Caenorhabditis elegans: one gene and its partners. The protein of the gene in region 4 interacts with the protein of the main gene of each other region in a pairwise test. Each region holds a gene or a part of one and is shown on either strand. Other genes may lie near its edges. The genes, in order: prx-19, dpm-1, ptr-2 and gly-5.

Evidence for each region.
Region 1: the proteins of gly-5 (region 4) and prx-19 interact in a two-hybrid assay, tested with the Caenorhabditis elegans proteins (one large-scale study listed by BioGRID).
Region 2: the proteins of gly-5 (region 4) and dpm-1 interact in a two-hybrid assay, tested with the Caenorhabditis elegans proteins (one large-scale study listed by BioGRID).
Region 3: the proteins of gly-5 (region 4) and ptr-2 interact in a two-hybrid assay, tested with the Caenorhabditis elegans proteins (one large-scale study listed by BioGRID).

Annotation. Positions count from the first base shown.
Region 1 is NC_003281.10:8,806,967-8,811,152, forward strand, and holds prx-19 (Putative peroxisomal biogenesis factor 19), read right to left. Parts: upstream 2,330-4,186; 5' UTR 2,324-2,329; coding exon 2,226-2,323; intron 2,158-2,225; coding exon 1,680-2,157; intron 1,138-1,679; coding exon 865-1,137; 3' UTR 516-864; downstream 1-515. Other genes in the region: F54F2.7 (uncharacterized protein), read right to left, coding at 1-22, 258-380.
Region 2 is NC_003282.8:443,815-448,999, forward strand, and holds dpm-1 (Dolichol-phosphate mannosyltransferase subunit 1), read left to right. Parts: upstream 1-1,862; 5' UTR 1,863-1,868; coding exon 1,869-2,219; intron 2,220-3,823; coding exon 3,824-4,036; intron 4,037-4,276; coding exon 4,277-4,432; 3' UTR 4,433-4,635; downstream 4,636-5,185. Other genes in the region: mrpl-55 (39S ribosomal protein L55, mitochondrial), read left to right, coding at 171-243, 459-586, 661-756, 802-882.
Region 3 is NC_003279.8:3,788,791-3,794,541, forward strand, and holds ptr-2 (SSD domain-containing protein), read right to left. Parts: upstream 4,008-5,751; 5' UTR 4,006-4,007; coding exon 3,573-4,005; intron 3,511-3,572; coding exon 3,414-3,510; intron 3,368-3,413; coding exon 2,745-3,367; intron 2,694-2,744; coding exon 2,593-2,693; intron 2,263-2,592; coding exon 1,018-2,262; intron 973-1,017; coding exon 838-972; intron 792-837; coding exon 624-791; 3' UTR 519-623; downstream 1-518. Other genes in the region: rpl-13 (Large ribosomal subunit protein eL13), read left to right, coding at 1-72.
Region 4 is NC_003281.10:13,185,499-13,190,391, reverse strand, and holds the start of gly-5 (Polypeptide N-acetylgalactosaminyltransferase 5), read right to left. Parts: upstream 3,001-4,893; 5' UTR 2,942-3,000; intron 2,283-2,941; 5' UTR 2,257-2,282; coding exon 2,149-2,256; intron 2,094-2,148; coding exon 1,830-2,093; intron 265-1,829; coding exon 146-264; intron 1-145. UniProt on the Caenorhabditis elegans protein: Catalyzes the initial reaction in O-linked oligosaccharide biosynthesis, the transfer of an N-acetyl-D-galactosamine residue to a serine or threonine residue on the protein receptor.

The DNA of each region.
Region 1 (4,186 bases), 4.4 Mb from region 4:
CGACAACTTCACTTTCAGGAATCTAAACATTTTGAATTGTTTTCTATACATATAATAAAAAAATTTTCTTTATAAAATGTATTTTTTGCAAAACAGATAAATTCACACTTTTCCGTATGTAGTTCGCAAATCTTAGTAAATCGGCATGTATCAAACCGCACCAGGCCTGTTTTAATAGAATATTCAAATTTTTCGCCGAATTTTTCCGGGGTGAGATCTGTATGCGCCTTTAAGTGTGCCTTTCAGAAAAATCTCACATTTCGAAGAACGACAACGGTGACACCACTTGGATGATGAAGATATGCAATATTATCATAAAGTTCCGAACTTTTTCTTGAATAAATTCGATCGACTACAGAAGCATATGAGTGTCCAGACATCTGAAATATTTAATTGAAAGCAAATTTATTTTCTAAAAATATGATATTTGTAGTCTCATTAATGATAGATAAATTTCTGATTCTGAAAAATATCAATTACAGTTAATTGTGATCATCAAGTGTTCAAAGGGAATTCAAATTCATAAATCTTTATTGATTTGAAACATGTTTGGATATAAGGAAAAGACTGTAATTTGGAAAATAATTTGGCCACACACTTGAAAAGCGAACTTTAAAAGAAAAATCTATTCGTTGAAGCATAACAAAAAAAACAAAAAAAAACCAAACTAGTAACTGACTTAGAAAATGTGGAAAATAACTGAGGACACTTATTGCTACACTGGGGAAGAGACATTTCTATTCAGGGATTATCATATTGAAGAGTTGATGGGAAACAGTTATGTTTTTTAAACACAAAAGTTTATTTTTTCTAAAATTCTATTTCTTTGGCTTCAATTTGATATAACAACATAGTTAATAGTATTCACATAATTGAGCACGCTTCAGTTGCTGCTGCAGCATCGGCAACTTTCGGAAGACCAGACTCATCAATTTGCCATCCATCTGGAAGTGCTCCAACAAGTTCTTTTGGTGGATATCCGTATTGTTGGAGCTCGACGAGCAACTTTCCAAGCTTCTCAAAATGTTCGATAGATGCTGGATCCGCTTCGGGAGCAGGTTGAGTGGCTGCGTCTACAGGTTGAACTTCGGCCAATTCTGGTTGTTTTTCGAATTCTGTGCAGATTTTTCCAAGAACCTGAAAAATAGTAAATTTTGGGAGAAATATTACTTGTTCACAGCTTTTAGAAAAAAAATTTTTTTAGAAAATTTTTTTTTAAAGAAAAAAAAAACATTGAGTAAAGTGACACTATTGTTTGTCATTTGGGCAAAAAAAAAATTTAAAAATACATATATTTTTTTTACGTTTTTGCACTAAAATTTCGAATAGCTGAATTATTTTTGAATTCCCGCACAAAATCATATTTTTGAATATTTTGAGTTAGGTTTTTCTTTAACTATTGAATTGAAATAATTTTTTTTCAACATTTCAGAAATTTTCTGCAACAGTTGAAAATAATGCTTAATTATAGATTTGTATTTTAAATATTTTTCGGTTTTTGTTTCAAAGAATTCGTCGAAAAATTTGAGAAATTGTGTTTCAAGTCAATAAATAGAAAGAAAACCAATAAATATAGCCGGAAAACACGAACATTTCGAAATTGGTCATTTTTCGTCGTGCGAGAATACAAAAATAATTTGGCTTTTTCTATATTTTTGTTGCAAATGTGAGAAAATAACCTCGAATTGTTTCTCATATCGTTCCTTTGTTTCAGCATCTAAACCAGCACCGTTATCCTCCAAATACTTTGGATAGTTATCGAAAATTTCTTTAAGTGGGGGATACATGACTTCTTTTGAAGCTAGAGTTTGCATAATCATGCTCATAAATGGCTCCATTGGAGAATTTGGAGAACGTAACATATCAAGACCAGCCATAAATTCTTCTGGGTTGCTAGCATTTGCAACATTTGATGAGCATTCCATAAGTTGTTTTAATGCATCCATCATTGCAAGAGCTTCTGGATCATTTGGATCAAGTGGCTGTTCTCCTTCTCCTTCTGATGGATCTGCTCCAGCTTTTTTCATGGCTTCTTCTTGCAGAGTCACCATTTGTTCGAGCATTTTCTGGAAGTCTTTCGCAGCTTTTTGTGCAGCTTCTTGATCAGCTGAAGCCATCAGTTCATCGAGTTCATCATCTGTTGTACGTGGTTTTGGTCTGAAAAATAAAACGGATGAGAAACTAAAACTTTTTTACTTTAGGCTTAAAAAACATTTAAAACTTACGCTGGTGTCGCCGTGAATTCTCCCAAAGTTTGATCAAGCAAAGCGGCAAGCTCTTCCTCTGTTTTGTCTTTAATATTTTGGGTTGTTTCGTCAGTCATCTTTTTCTGAAAAAGAGGCAAAATAAAAAGTCGAAAGAGTGAGGCGGTGAGAAGAAAAGGGGGAAATAAGTGAAAAGGAGAAATGCGGGGGTACTTTTGGATCGATAAAACACACAATCGGTGAACACACGGGAGGTTGTGTTCTTATCAAATAAAAACAAATGGGTACAGTGTACTATTTATGTGTTCAGATTTATCGATAAGGATCATATGTTAAAATTGCTATGATTATTAAAAAAATCGAATGGCAAGGTCGCAATGTTTTCAGATTTCGGTGGGATCCATAGTAAGCTACTTAAAAATCGAATGACATTCTTTTTCTGTCATAAAATTACTTTAAAAATCAATAAAATCAACTTAAATTCAAAAATATACTGAAAATTAAATAAAAGCGCTGAAAAATTCTAGTTTCGTTCACAAATTACATCACGGAAAAGTTTTTATCTACGGAGCGCGCTTGCGACAGTTGTTGGCGGTAGTTCAAATTCGAATGCCTGCTCGTCGTTTCTTGTTTAAACCGCTGCGCAATCAGTTGTTTGCAAAAGGACAACTGCTTCTCGGTAGGAGATTTACACAAATCTAGTGTAATACACATATGTTGGGGTTGTTGAAAAATATATGAAGGAGTTCATACGTTGACGACGTGTGGTATAGTTAATCAAAAGATTTACCATATTTTCAGGCAAATAAGAACGCTCCGCCCATATAGTTTGGGTCTCATTAGGTTTTGGCGGCAAAACCGAGAATAAAAACGTTTTCAATTATTTTGCCAATTTTTTAAGCATTTCTGGCAGTTTTCTAAATTTTTTGGCCCATGATCCAAGGGTACATCGAATTGAGGGTACATTTGTTCTCGGGGTACATTCGAGCAAAGGGTACAATCATTCTTAGGGTACATCCAACGGTTTGTTCAGAGGGTACATCCATGGGATTTTCATAGGGTACATCGGCACTATGTTCCAAGGGTACATCCAATTTTCAAGGGGTTCAACGGAAATTTATAACTGAAATTTCTTAGAGTTGTGATTTCTCATAATCATTTTTGCATATTATCACTTTTTTTCTTTTTTTAACTGCCGTATTGAAAAATTCGAATTAAACCATTGTTTTGTAATTCATAAAATTGAAATCAAGAAACAAAACAATGGTTTAATTCCGAATTTTTCAATATCGACAGTAAAAAAACCGAAAAAAAGTCGATAATATGCGAAAATGATTATGAGAAATCACAACTCTAAGAAATTTCAGTTATAAATTTCCGTTGAACCCCTTGAAAATTGGATGTACCCTTGGAACATAGTGCCGATGTACCCTATGAAAATCCCATGGATGTACCCTCTGAACAAACAGGTGGATGTACCCTAAGAATGATTGTACCCTTTGCTCGAATGTACCCCAAGAACGAAAAATCGCTCGATGTACCCTATTCCGATGTACCCTCGGATCATGGGCCAAATTTTTTTGTTATTCTAATTATTTTATGTTACACTTCATTCACGTTTTATCTTGAAACAAATTGTTAAAACACCAATACCTAACAAGACCCATTTGGCGTTGGAGATTACACTCATATTTCAAAATACGCATATTTTAAGTCCCCATAACAACATTGAAAAAATTACATTAGGATAAACTTTTCCCAAAGTTTTAACTGAAAATTCAGATTACTATAATTCGAAGTTCAAACAAATCTTCATTATCTGGTTGTATATCAATATCTCATTCACCATATGCTCTTTCAAACCAAGAAAAGGGCGGAGGAGGGCGCCCATGTGAATTCCCGAGAGGGTGTGTCCTTTTCTCCCACTTCTTCTTCACTTTTTGATTTTATCTCTTTGAGTAGCACCATAGTCTTTCTCGTCT
Region 2 (5,185 bases), on a different chromosome or scaffold from region 4:
TTTTAATTTTATTTGCATTTGCCGCGTAAGTGACACGAAAAGTGAGCGCCGCAAACGCGCTCCGCTGAGAATTTGTTTGTGCACTCCTCTCGAATAAGTCAAAAATACACGTCTTTATTAAAACTTATTGATTTTTCAGTGTATTCCTGTGATTTTTCTTGAATTTCTAAATGTTTTTGCAGATGAACACTCAAATTTCCATGCGAAACTTGCTAACAAGCTGCTCAAAAGCCATCACAGCAGGTTAGTAAAGGAAAAAGGTCGAAAAATATCATTTGAAGGTTATTTTCAAAAAAAAAACGTGGCAGAACATTTTTCGTACAACATTTTTCATGTGAAAATTGCAATTACTATTATTTCCATTCATTTCTCCTCAAAATCAGACTTTTTATAAACCATTTCCCCCTTCCTCTCCCTAAATCAAAATCACTATTCCCGCGTGAATTTCACATTTTCAGAGAGAAATAATGCGTGGAGAGCAAGTTTGGGAAAAATCAGCCGTCGAGACTACTTGCATCGGTACCAAGTTAAATTTATCCGTCCGGATGGTTCGACAATCATGGTTCCCGCCGCTGAACCGAGACAGGTTGCTTTTTGAAAAATACATATTTAATTGCAGTTTTTATATTTAATCAGTTTTTTAATTGTACATATTTTCAGACATTCCAATCTGCCGTCGACCTCAAACAGTTGAGCGAGGATGAACGACGACAACGGCTGGCTGCTCGTAAACCAAAAGCCAAGATCACAAAAACAGTAATTATATAATTAACGATTTCAAATTAAAAATGGTTTTTTCAGGAAGTTATCGATGACACCTTCGATGAGTCGGAGTATATGAAGTTTTGGTCGGCACCCGGGCAGAAATCCACGAAAAAATAAGAAAAATCTCGTTATTAGCATGTAGTATTTCTTTTTTTTTGTTAGATTTTTTGTTTTCGTTATATTTACTATGAATATCGACTTTATTCTCGATCTGATTAATATTGATTTGTGCGTTTAGTCGCAATTTTATATCAATTATCTCTATTTCACTAGGGAACCCCGTAACAGCTTGGTGGATAGGAAACCAAGAAGTTTGTGGAGGAAAATCGAGTTTCCGGTCGAAATTAGCTTGAAAATACTAATATGCTAAAAACCTCTAAAAACCTCATTTTTCAGCGATAAACGCCGAATTTTCAGCCATTTTCCGAGAAAAACGCGAATTTTCGGGTAAAAAACCCGATCTCAGAACGAATTTGACTTCAAAAATGGAAAAATGCGATAAGAAGCGTGAAGTTTCACTGAAAACTCTTAATTTCAACGTTTTTTACTCAAAAAATCGTATTTCTGGCTCAAAAACAGTGAAATTTATCATTTTTTTTCTGTGAAAAAATCGATTGGGGGGACCAATAAAAGGTACATTTTTGTGACCCACTGACCGAAAATGTACTTTAATCAAAGAATAAGCGCGTAGTAAAGGACCATAATATTTATTAAAGATTGATAATTGAATAAAAATTTAGTTCCAGACGGTGTCACACCGAGAAGGTGGAAAAATGTGATTTTAGCTGAAAATGAGCTTTTTCTAAAACTTTGACCCATAACTTTTTTTTGAGAAAATTTCAAAACTTCTCATTACGAAATTCGGTAGTTTTGAATCATTTGGTTCTAAAAAGCAAAGTCTTAGATTTCGGTACTCCAACTTTAATTTTCAGTGACACTAGTGTTTTTAAGACTTTGAGACCGATTAATTTTGTTTTGATTTCGAGTAGCCAGTATTTAACACAAGCTTCCGATTGGTATACTTTTTGTTTCTCTTATTCACCAAGTTTTTACAGGGATCCCTAGTCAGATTATTCAAAAGGAATTTTATGTTTCAGATTATTATGACATCCACTCCGAAATATTCGATAATTCTGCCAACCTACAACGAAAAAGAAAATTTGCCGATTTGCATTTGGTTAATTGAAAATTATCTGAAAGAAGTTTCACATGAAGTGATTATCGTTGACGATGCATCACCAGACGGTACTCAAGGCATTGCAAAACTTCTTCAAAAGGAGTACGGAGACGATAAGATTCTGATCAAGCCACGAGTTGGAAAACTTGGACTTGGTACAGCCTATTCACATGGATTATCGTTTGCACGTGGAGAATTTATCATTCTTATGGACGCAGATCTTTCTCATCATCCAAAATTCATTCCGGAAATGATTGCGCTTCAACATAAGTATAAGGTATACATTATTCGTACATTTTTTCTAAAAATTGTTAAAAAAACAGAACTTTTTTAAATTTCAAAATTTATAGGTGTACAAATGTTATTTTAGTTAAATAATAGTTAATTTGATGAAAGTTTTCCAATTTGAGAAAAATATGGCAAGAACTTATTATGCAACGTTAAGCATTTAAAATTTATATAGAAATGTAGAACACAGCATGTTCTATCTGAAAATAACATATATTTCTGTTAAAAAATTGAAAAAAGTCCTCAAATAGTACCTGAAAATTGTCGTTTGACGAAAAGGTGCCGTTAAAAGTTTTTTCGGCAAACTGTAACTTTCAGGCACAGTTGGATCAGGGGTGTGCTGATAATATCCGATTCACTATCAGCCGAATTTCTGCCAGTTTAGCTAATTTAAACTTTAAGTTATCCGGTAGCCGATGTTGGCCGATCTTAGCCCAATTTCCCGGTCTGCTAATTTCACTAACACATTTTTTTTTGGAAAAAATGTTGGGGTTTTATATGATTTTTTCTATTTGAACAGTCGTTCATCACTGAATTTGCTAAAAAATAGTGAACATCACCGCAACTTTTTTCGAACGAGGGCCGAGAAAAAATGCGAAAAATCGGTGTTTGCACACAAAACACCGCATTTTACGACATTTTGTACTTGCTTTGTTTTCTCTTGTTTTTCACCAATTTTTCCCGTGTTTTCTTATCAAAACTGATAAATAAATTTTTTTGCTAATGCTAAAATAATTTCCAGATGAAAAAATATGTATTCAGTCGGCAAGTAGCGGTGAAAGTCGTCAATGTAATATGATGGATTACGGGAATACAAAACCCAAACTTTTTCCCAAACATGATACATATGCTGCTCTGATGCTGAAACTACCTGATTTTCATAACGAGACCGCTGAAAAAGTTTTGAGGTTTTCAAAATTCAACTTTTTGTGCGAAAATCTCTACTTTTTCACCAAAAAAGTTGAATTTTGAAAGCCTCAAAACTTTTTCAGTGGTCTCGTTATGAAAATCAGGTAGTTTCAGCATCAGAGCAGCATATGTATCATGTGTGGGAAAAAGTTTGGGTTTTGTGTTCCCGTAATCCATCATATTACATTGACCACTTTCACCGTTACTTACAGACTCAATACACAATTTTTTCACTTGGAAATTGTTTTAGCATCTGCAAAAAATATTTATTTATTAGTATTAATAAGAAAAAATGGGGAAAATTGGTGAAAAACGAAAGAAAACACGCGGAAAACAAAGCAACATAAATGGCCGCTGAAACTTGTCGGGGACTCGGCCATGGCCTAGAAACCTTTTTGCCTCGTCCCTCGTTCGAAAAAAGTTGTAGTGAATAGCCGTTAGCCGGCTTCAAAAAAGTCGGCATTAGCCGATCTATCTGTTAGCCGAAAAAGTCGGTTATCCGCACACCCCTGATTATCATGTTGAAATGCGCCAGTTTTGTGCGTTTGCCGAAAATAATGTCTCACCTAATATCAAGTTTCCGATAATAGAGGACATAATATTACATTTAAAAAACCATCACATTTATATCAACACAATGCCTTTTTTAAGCATAAAAATACAATTTTTTTATTTATTTTTCAGCTCGACATCGTGACAGGAACACGCTACAAGGACGGAGGTGGTGTTAGTGGATGGGATTTGAAGAGGAAGACGATCAGCAAGGGAGCCAATTTTTTGGCTCAGTTTCTGCTGAATCCAGGTGTATCTGATTTAACAGGATCATTTCGTCTTTATAAGAGAGATATTCTGTCGAAGTTGATTGCTGAAAGTGTAAGCAAAGGATACGTTTTTCAGGTGAATATAGGTTTAAATTTTGAAAAATAAAGATATTTCTGCAACTCGTGCACACCATTTACCAAAAACCGGAGCCAATGAAAAAAGGTTTTTATTGATCAAGAAACAGAAATGCAATCAAAACTTAAGCTTATTCTGAGGCTCTTCGAAAATTCAAAGTTAAATATATATAAAGAAGATTTTTTAATAACAAAATACTGTGAAAAAGATTTTTTAATGTTTTTAAAATCCGAATTGCAGATGGAAATGATGTTTCGAGCGAAAAAATCGGGTTATCGTATTGGGGAGGTACCAATCTCATTCGTCGATCGATTCTTTGGAGAATCAAAGCTCGGAAGTCAGGAAATCGTGGATTACGCAAAAGGACTTCTCTATCTGTTTGCATTTGTTTGGTAGATTCTGTGATATAATTTGTATTCATTTTACTATTTTTAATTTAAATTTTAAGAATTAAAATTTCTGAGAGTTTTATAGCCAGAGCGCTTCATTGTACGTTTTCCAAATTTTTTTATTATGACCTTGGGGATTCCTATTTATATTGTTTCCAAACATTCTTGTTTAAATTATATTTTTTCTTCGAATAAATCGTTATAATATTTTTTAAGATGCCAACAAAATTGGAAACAATTTGTGCACAAATGTTCTGGTTGGCTAAGTGTCAAGTTGCCGAATAATTAAAGCTCGGCAAATGCCGAAAAATAGAAGAAATATGTATCCAATTTTCAAAAAGAGATTAAAATTTTCAGATTATCCAGTGTTGGGAGTTAAAAATGTTATATTTTTGTACCAATATCTCGGCAAATCGGTCCAGTTTTCCAGGGCGCTTTCAACGTCTTTCAACGACTACCCCCGAGCTGTGAATTGTGCCCTGGAAAGCTGGCGATGAGCGGCAAACTCCAGAAAAAAAAGTGGGTGTGTGTGCCGCACACTGCCGTACTCTGTTGCACATTTCTGTGCATTTCTGAGTCACTATTTTTGGTGAACGGCCAGAGTCACTATATTTGGTGAACGGCCCAAATATAGTGACTCTGGCCGTTCACCAAGAACAGTGACTGTCTCGGTAGACGTATGCGCACATTCCGCGCACCTTCCGCGCACATTCTGCGCACATTGGTTTTTGTGTGTTTTTCATCCAGAAATCATGCATTC
Region 3 (5,751 bases), on a different chromosome or scaffold from region 4:
GAGCGTGCTGACAAGAAATACCGTGGAAAGCGTGAGAAGAGAGCCAGAGAGGCCGCTGAGGAGAATAAGTAAATTGTTGATTTTCTCTGTTCATAAACTTGTTATGAAAGTTAACAGTGACTTACCAACGAACAAACGAAATGCAAATAATATTCTAAAATACAATACGTCTAGTTTAAGTTTTTATTTGAAAACTTATGGTCAAAAGTGAAACATCAGAACGGGAAAGTTGATTTTGAGTTTCCGATTGTAAATCTTAAAAATTCTGTCGCTTACTATTAGTTTAGGTTTTCATTGTGATTTTATTCGCTACTTGAAAAATATTAAAGTTTAATTTCAAGAAACGCATATTAATCCTCAGCTTTTGGTAAAAATTTGTAGCACTGAGAAATAGGTGGCTGTTGGCTTAAATATCCAATTATCCGTTTTCTTATTTTTGACCGATTTGTTCTAAAAATGTCTCCTTCCCATTCTAGACTCACTGATAATGTTTCGAGAGTTAATAATATTTAAAATTTCAATTAAGATATTCATTCACATATATTTAAAAACAACGTAGAACATTCACAATATTCTACAAATACACGTATTCAATTAGTTAATGAGAGTCATTGGAAGAAAGACTAGTCTAGGTGCTCGGATTTAATAGAATTCTTTGATCTGTTGTGTACAGTTGGAGATTCATCGGTGTACTCAAGCCTATGCGGGAAGCTGATTGGTGACGAGGCGCGGAGCGGAGCAACGGTTCGCAAATCGAGTGGACTAGACGAGATAGCGGCGATCCTGATTTGCTGAAATATGGGAAAATGAGAATGTAGTGATAATTTCAGATCAAACCTTTTCGATTTTTTGAGCGCTGGGATGACCATGCGGTGAGCTAGGGATTATGCAACATCCACGTACGAATATTGAGAGCAATACTGGAAGGAAAACAAGACCATGGAGAAGACCGAGAGAAATTGAGAGAACGACCTGAAAATAGAAAAGTTAAAGAATAAAAAAATTGAAAAGAATTACCGTTTTGAAAAAAGTAACTATCATATATGCTGGAATATCGGCAAGAACTGAAACCGCGATAATTGTAGACATAGCTCCCTGAGACAGTGGCCATCCAAGAGCTGATAGTGCTTCTTTCACTCTACCAGCTGCTGTATCTTCTCTGGATACGACATAGCCATATGCAATGTGTGCAGAATAATCGACGGAGAACCCAATTGACATGATAATTGTGATCATTGATATAGCATCCAGATTCACTCCCCATAGCGTCATGTATCCAATCACTCCAAAATCGATGGAAGCACAAGCGAGAGCCACCCAAAGTGAGCACATTGGCTGTGGAATGAAGAGAACGGCAATGACGATCATCACCAAAAGTGCAATAATAATGTTTTGAACAGTGTTCGGAATAATTATAATGTACTGATCAGTGAACATCCATATTGGCATAAAAGTGGTCACATTGAACTCCGGCCATCGAGCAGCGACCTCTCTAAATGACATTGTAGCGTCGGTTTGGTCCATTGTTGTCACTAAATCCTTCATTCCTAGAATAAACCGGAAGCTTTTGACCATCGTTCCATTATCATCATCAGGCATTGGTCCCCAGTAGATATCCTCTGCCAATGGATTATTGGTTTTGGAAGCTAGGAAATGGTGAAGAAGGCCATAAAATGAGGAATCAATAATTTGAACTTCCAACTCTTTTTGATAATATCTCTCCATTTCGAATAACCAAAACTGCACAGATTCCATTCCAATCGCATGCTTACTTGTCGCAAAGTCAAGCACCATTGCATGAACTCGATCACGAGATGTATGATTTCTAAGATCGGGAGCATTATTTATCACAATTTGCACTTGTTGTCCGTATTTCCAAAAATATTTCTCTAAAAGTCGATAATGTGGAATAGCATACGAGTCCTCAACCAATAAATTAACTGGCTCCAATCCTTCCTTGATACGAGAGCATCCATAGCTGGCGCCGAGCAGATAGATCACAAACCAAACCATTGCAATTCCACGAACCACAGGATGCATCAGAACTGGAGCATACCATTCTCCGAAGAAACGAGAGGTCAGTGGTTGTTTGACATCGTGTGATGCAGAATGATCGGGCACACTTCCGAGATTGAATAATCGTTGGAATGTGCTCAGGGATGTCTTCTTTTCGGCAGATACAGCTTCGATGAGAAAGAGGGAATTTCGGCCGGATGCTTCGTGTTTCATAGCCAGTGCTAGGCATGCGGCAAAGAATGTGATCTGAAAACAGCGATTATTATTGAGACGCAAAATTTTGGTCCTGAAAAAAACGATTTTTGTGTGTTAGCAGAAATTCGCCACGTGGAAATATTACCCGGACGCGAAATTTTGCGAATTTGGTGCCAGGTCTCACCACGACAATTTTTGTCTTCAAATTCAAAAACATGCACTTCTTTAAAGATAACTTTTTTCATTTTTTTTTCAAATTTTTGTGATTTTATTCATTAATTCTGCTATTTTCTAATGGTTTAAATGAGTTTTTTGACGAAATGTGTCGAGACCGGGTACTGTATTTTCGGAACAAAAATCGAATCTTGGTATTATAAGCACCTGATATATAAATGCAAAGAAAATTGCGACTCCAGTGTATACACAGAATATTTGAACGGCTGGAATAGTTGTGATGGCGCCGACTCCAAAGGAAAGAACATCTGAAAAAATATTAAGATTGTGAATAAATATTCAATTTCAATTAGGGCTACCTGTGCTAGACGTGATAAGAATCGAAACTGCAGCATCTGCCAAACATTCTCCCATTCGTTCGTGCACTGTATGCGTTCTAGACGTTCGTCTCACAGCTGCTACCATCAAAAACATATTATCAACTCCAACAGCGAGCACGAGGAATGGCATGACACCAACAATGTCATTGTATGGCATTCCCATCAATGACAAGAATCCGACGCCAGTGAGAATAGCGATTCCAGCACTGACCACTCCGAGAATGGAAAGAATCGGTTTAGAGAGAACCCAATCGATTGAGAACGATCCGTCGATGAAGCTCAGCGAGCAAAGTGTTGAGAAAACGATGAGAAGGGTGATGGAGATTATGAAGCGAGGAATCAGTGTATCCGCATTTCTCTTAAGCTCATCTGCTAGAGTTTGAGAGTGGAAGTAGGTGATAGAGATGTATGGATCTTCTGGATACTGGGTGAGCATTCTGCCGAGTTCTAGCTCCCATTCTCCCGAAATATAGCTCATTTCTTCTGGGTGAAACTTCAGATGATAGATCATGAACCAGGCTTTCGCTGATGCAAGGATATCTGTCTCATTTTCTCCTTTCATTACAGTGACGCCTCCGAGACTGCTTCCGATATATCCTCCTCTGGAAAATACGAACAAAAATTGGAAAAAAAAATATCTGAACATACTCTGATCCGAATCGAAAATAGGGGTAAGTAATATTGAAGCCATGATTGTGTAGGTCGGAAAGAATATGTACATGCTTGTTAGAAGGGCAACCGCCATCTGAAAAATATGAAAATTAGGAAATTTTTCCGGAAATGATGACACTCTCGAGCAATACTAACTTTTATACTGTAGGCACAGGTTTTTGTAGCTGTAATAGTGGCCATTGTGAAGGACACGAACTCTTGTTTGAATATATTTGTCGAGTTGATAGACTGCGTTCGCAAATTTTGGATCAAGAATATTCGAATCGTTGCGAGCAAGCGCTGTGACTTGAATTTCTCGACTTTGCGTCACAGCTCGTCCCGGAATATAATTATTGTCGGTGAGTGGCCATTTCTCATGAATCGACATTCGTTCCATCTTGCTCTGAGCGCCGAGTGGTGTGAAGAGGTAAACGGCGTCGGAGAGTGGATTCAGGTGGAGAAGTCCGACTCCCATTGCGGCGGTGAAGAGTAGCGGGAAGACGAAAAATGGAAGCGGATGGTCACAGATCAGGAATCCGAGCTGTCGGAACAGCGACGCCGCACGCCGCTCCACACAGTCCCATGCCATTTCTGAAAATTAATAAATTAGAGTATTTTGGCGATTATTAGAAAGAAACAATAAAAATTAAGAGAGTGAGATAAAAATGCAGAGGAGATTTAATCGAGGGAAGGAAGAAAGGAAGAAAGACTGACTCGCACTGTTTTATAGTGGGCTACAAACTACAGACTACACAGGCTACACAGTATTTATCCGGAAATAATTATTGGCAGGTGGCCCGGTACAGAAAAATGAGAAAGATGAACTAAAATGAAGGAATTATTGGAGAAAATTAAAACAAAAAGTTGAGAAGAAAAAATGACTACAGTAACCCGGAAATGCAGATTGTGTGCATTTTTTCGTCATGGTGAAGTTTAGACAAGGAATTTAAATTAAATTTAAAAATTAATTTTAATTTTGAAAAATGCCGTTATTAAATAGACAAAATCACAAAAAACAAGAAAATTAATGAATTAATAATTTCTGCAAACTTTTGTTTTCATTTTACAACTGCTTTAAATGTGAACACGCTCTGAAATTTCGAAAAAAAAAATTGAAAATCACAGAAAAGAAATACGAGGAAACTTTAAAACATCTTGTGGTTCGCTCACGAAACCCAAATTTGACCGCCGAAGACAAGACAAAACCAACAGGAGTAGATCAAAATAATAGATCAAGACGAAATAAATATAAGAAATCAAGCAGTCGATTTGCTGCAGTCAGAAGACGATCTCCGCTGTCCGCGTGCGTCATCGGAGAGGCGGATACCGGTCTTTCTTCTGCGGTTGTGTCATCAGATGAGGGTGAAAGCTGTGAGGGGAATAAGAAAGGGAGACAGAGAAAAGAGAGGGATAAATTCGACTTTCGGCATGATGATGTTCGCCTCTAAATGCAACAGCAGCGATACCGGTCCATTTTTCGCGCCTGTCTGGCATGGATTATTGGTAGAAAATTTCGAGAAAGTAATTCGTCTTGAAGGGAAAATATTTAATTGTCTAAATTGAAGAAGCCTGCAGTCCACTTATTTTTCTTTAAAGTTTTGAACTTTGGGAAACTTTCGATGAAGCTTGGATGAAGATTCTAGATTGCGCCGCGAAAAAACATTAAACAAATTCTTACGTCACTTTTTTCTATATCTGTTTTACAAAAATATCTCCTAAAGCAATCAAATTTGTAAATAGGGTTCTGAAGACGAAAAGAAATGGGTTAAGAGTCGTTAAGTCGAGAATGGAATCAAATTGAATGAAAAACATTTACATTGAGTAGGATATTTGAACAACGTTATTGAGAAAAATATAGATATTATGGGAACAAAAAATTCTGAAAATGCGTACTGCACAACATATTTGACGTGCAAAATATCTCGTAGCGAAAACTACAGTAATTCTTTGAATGATTACTGTAGCGCTTGTGTCGATTCACGAGCTCTATATTTATCGACTGAATAACAAATTTGAGAAAAAAAATTTGAGAAAATCTAGGGAAAATAAATTATTTAATATCGAAAATCGAGCCCGTAAATCGACACAAGCCCTACAGTAGTCATTCAAAGACTTACTGTAGTTTTCGCTACGAGATATTTTACGCAATACACATTCTCAGATTTTTGTGCTCCCGAAATATCGTAATTTTGCTAAAAATTGGCAATTTCAAAAGCACATGGGATTTTTTGAGTGGGTCTCGTCACGATCTCAGTCATAGAGATCGCTACAAATGCCAAAGTTCACAGATTTGTTAATTTTCATCTAGACTTTTTTTCAAGTTTAATAGTATTGG
Region 4 (4,893 bases):
ATTTTTTTAAAAAGAAAATTTTTTGAAAAAATTCGATTTTTCTTCTTTTTTTCCGGAAAATCACAAAAAAACTTCAGTTTTTTAGGGAAATTTAAAAAAATTAATTTTTCGATTTTTATGAATTTTGGAATAAAAAAAAACCCACTCAGCATCAATATTAGTTGGCAAAGTTCGATGTACTGATATCATATCAGATGCGTATTGATTAAAAGCGTTGTTGAGCATTCCCTTGTCGTATTTTGCCTTTTCTTCGGTCGATAGTTTCTGAAAATTAGAAAGAAAATAAAGTTTTTTTTTTTCGTTGATTTTAAAGGCAAAACATCAAAATTTCGAAAAAAAAAGAACTAATTTCCACTAGAATCTTAGATTTTGGGGGCCGAAATCGGCCTAAAATGACCTAGAGTGGCTAAAAAATGATCGCGAATTGGATAAAAATGACTAAAAATTACCCAAAATCACCTAAAAATTACCTAATGTGACCAAAAAAAAAAATGAAAATTCGGCCAAAAATTACTAAAATTTCTAAATTTTGCTAAAAATACCTAAACGGACCAAAAATAATCAGCAGTCGGTTGAAAATGACTACAAATTACCGAAATTGGCCAGGAATGTCGAAAATATTTCATATTTAAAATAACTTGATATTTAAAATATTTTAGACATCATTTTTAATCATTTTTGGCCAATTTTCGAAAATTTCCGAGCACTGAAGTGATTAAAAATGTCTGAAAAATGACCAAATTTGGCCCAAAATAGGCGAAAAATGACCAAAAATGACATAAATATTTAAAATATTAAATATTTTAGAAATTTTTATTCATTTTTGTCCAATTTCAGTCATTTTTGGTGATTTTGGACCAAATTTGGTAATTTTTTAGTCTTTTTTTTAATGACTAAGCATAATCGAAAATCGGCCAAAAATGATTAAAAATGACCGAAAATATGTACCGTATTTCTTCTATTAATATGGCTGCAATAATATTTTTCGATGGTCTTCCGCTTGCAATACTAATAGGGAGTGCAAGACTATTAGGGAGTGCAATACTAATTTTCAGAACATTTTCTGACTTTGAGCTTACTAGTTTTTTTCCTGAAAAAACTCGAATCTTATGTGAAAATTCAGAAAATTTGATTGTAATTGCAACAAAAAGGTACAATAACTTCAATTTCATAGAAATTTTACCAAAATTGTTGCAAAGTAGGCAAAAAATGTTGTTAAAATCTCAAAATTAGTAGGGTGGGTTTGTACCAAAAAAAAAAAGTAGATGCAAGACTATTAGGGAGTGCAACACTAACTGCAATACTAATTTTCGGAGGGTTTTCAAGGAGCAATACTAATAGGGAGTGCAAGTCTAATAGGGAGGCCATATTAATAGAAGAAATACGGTATATTATATACATTTTAATCATTTTCGGCAAATTTCGGTCATTTTTAGTCATTATTGGCCAATTTTCGGCAATTTCCGAGCGCTGAAGTGACTAAAAATTTCTGAAAAATGACCAAATTTGACCAAAAATGATTAAAAATCGGCCAAAAATGACAGAAATTGACCAAAAATGACCAAAAATAACCAAATTTGGCCTAAAATTAACTAAAATTACTTAAAATGATGGAAAATCAGCCAAAAATCAGTAAAAAATGACCGAAATTGCCCTAAAATGATTAAAAATCTATACGGAATATTTTCATTTTTAAAATCATTTTTGGTAATTTTTGGCCAATTTAAGTCATTTTTGGCTCATTTTTTTCGCAATTTTGAGAATTTGAGCACATTTTGAGTCCACAAGTTCAAAGAACCGTTATTCCTCAAGAATAATCAAATTCTCACAGTTTTATCGACGACAACTGCCTTTCCAAGCTCTCCGGCTTGCGCTGCGTCTCCTTTTTTATAAATCGGATCGTTCGGATCGACCATAAATTTTGGTTTGGCCAAGTTCCCGCCGGGTTGCTCTTCTTCTTCCACTTTATTATTCTCTACGACAGGTTCCGGCTCAATCGGCGGCCCAAATCCTTGAATTACGTCTTGTTTCGCGGCTTTCGGGTGGAAATTCGCCTCCGCAATTTTATTCGCGAGATCGTTATTTGATCCGATCTGAAAATGGGATTTTAATCACATTTTTATTTTTTTTATTTTTGATTTTTGATACCTGGCTACTATCATTGCTGGTTGCTGCGAAAAAAATCAACGAGCAAATCCAAAAAACTGGAACCAAGAGGAGAACTTTTAATATCGCCTTTTTCTTGAATATAATCATTTCTCAGCGGCAAAATCGACCCGTATCTGCAAAAAAATTAATTTTTGATTAATTTAATTGGGAAATTTCTCAAAATATTTCGATTCAGCTCAGTAAAAACCAGTAAAAACTAAATTTTTCGACAAAAACTCCAAATAAGGACACATCGTCCACGTGTAGTACACGGGTGGTGACCTAGAAACCGACAACTACGTACTACACGTGGACAAAATCGGTGGAACATGTTTTTGGCAGGAATATGATGGAAAAACTATAATTTTCAGGAAAACTAATAAATAGCAACAAAAAAATCAATAGAAATTCGAAGAAAAATCAATATTTTCTAGTTTGACCTCAAAATGATCAAGTTTTCAATGTTAAAACAGATTTTTTTAGTTAGTTTTTTTCTTTTTTTTTCTTTAATATTGTTTAATATGACACTTTTCAGATTTTTGCGTCAGAAATACAGATCCAGGTCTCGACACGACAAATCCTTGTACTCATTGAAGGTGTGCGCCTTAAAATTAATTTTTCAGCTTTTTGAAATTTACTTTAGATATTTGATAATTTAATAGATTTTCATCGAAAAACTAAAAAATCAATAAAAATTCCGCAAATGAACAAGTTTGAAATTACAGTACTCTTTAAAGGCGCACACCTTTTTTCAAACATTTGTCGTGCCGAGACCCAGGGTACCGTAACCTACCGAAAATCCTCCGTTTTATGCTTCAATATCCCTCAATTTTGATAATATAAGTTTGCTGCCTGAAAAAAAACGAATTAAATTGTGAAAAGTAGTAGTAGTATTGGAAATTCGAGTAAAACAAGGAAATTTATAATGCAAACTTTTTCGGACCCAAGGCATACTGAATTCAAATTCACATTAAAAATTTTAGGTTGACGTGGACAATGACGATGAGCAGCAGCATGCAAGGCATGTTAACGATAATATTTGAACAGTTGGGAAGGGAAGGGAAGAGGGTGTATAAGAAGAGAGCATAGAACAGAACCACTATCTTTTTTAGCTTCTCTAATACCTCTTACTCTCTCTCTCTCACACTATATTTACTTTTTTCGGTGGTTTCGGTCAAGTTCAAATGTGCTCGAGAACTGTAATGTTTCAAGTTCGCAATGAGTCACGATTTCGATTTTCCGTGTATCCTAGAAATTTTGTGAGAGAAATAGTTTTAAATGACTCCCTGATTCCGAATATCTAAGTGAAAAAATTCTAAAAAATTTCCCTGATATTATATTTCAGCTTAAAATCGCGATGTGTCGATTTACGAGATTTTCAATATCTTCATTTTCGTCGCTTTTTTCCAAAGTTTCGTTTTTTAAGGTCAATTAAATATTATTTTGCCAAAAAACTAACAAAATTTCCATTTCTTAGGTCAAAACTCGACGAATTCCACGGAATTCTGGCTGTTTGCCGAACTAGGCCATTTTGGGTCGGAGAGATTTTGTGTAGATTTACGGCGCGTTGCGTGTCGCGTCGCGGCTCGTTTTAGTTGTAAAACTGAAGTTTGCTGTCCGTGAGGAGTACACGACACTTTTCCACGCGCTGTCCGGCAGGCGATTATCAATGGAGCGCGAAAATTCAATGAGAAATGCCCAGAACCCCGTGGACGAAAAATCCAAATATATGCTTTTCCCGCCTAAAAATCACAAATTTTGTTAGTTTTTTTAATGATATAACAAAAAAAGTGACCTTAAAAAAAGCACAGTTTTTTTTTTCACTTAAATATCGGAATCAGGGAGTCATTTTAAAATTGTTCTAAAAAGATTTCGATACTCCACATTATAAAATTTTTTACGTCAAAAACATCATTTCCCCCTTATCATCCATCTTACCATTCACACCCATTTTGCTCAAACAGACGCCCACGCCCTTTGCATACTTCTCAAATGGAAACTTCTATTGATAGTGAACCCAGAAGACAAAAGAGAAACGTGGTCATAACTGGGGGGAGTTGTTTGCTGGTTAGAAGAGCCCCGGACGTGCTCAATTGAGCATGACGAATAGGTTGGAGAAGAGAATGTCAGAGACACCTACTTGTAGTGAGAGGGGAACGAAAATGTCTATAGGCTAGGCTAAACTACAAATCATCTTATTTTTTCGATTAATGAAGAAAAAAAATATTTCGAAAAGGGCTTATGTTTGCAATTTTACTACAAAAATTCTGGAATTTCTAGGAAAAATGAGAACGCGAAAAAAAATTATTTGAAAAATTCATTTGGCGCGGTGAGACCCTTTCCAAAATTACTTTGTGCGAGCGCCTTTAAATTGATCTTAGAAAAATTGTTATTGTTTTCTTATAGTTACTAAGTAAGTAAGTAAGTTCTACTCGGTCACAAATTAGCTATAAAAATCTGTAAATTATAAGAAAATTTGAAAAAAAAACATTATACAGTAATCTTAAAGGTGCATACACAATTTTAATTCGAATTCCCGCCGAAATTTTTCTGAAGAAATTTGAATTCCCGCCAAATTTTTTCCATAGTAATTTGAATTCCCGCAAAAATTTTTCCATAGAAATTTGAATTCCCGCCAAAATGTTTCTAGAGATATTCTAATTCCGCACGTGGTGTTAAAGTGTCTTATTTTGGTTCGATCTACAAAAATGCGGGAGAAGAGACGCAGACTTTTCAATTAATTTC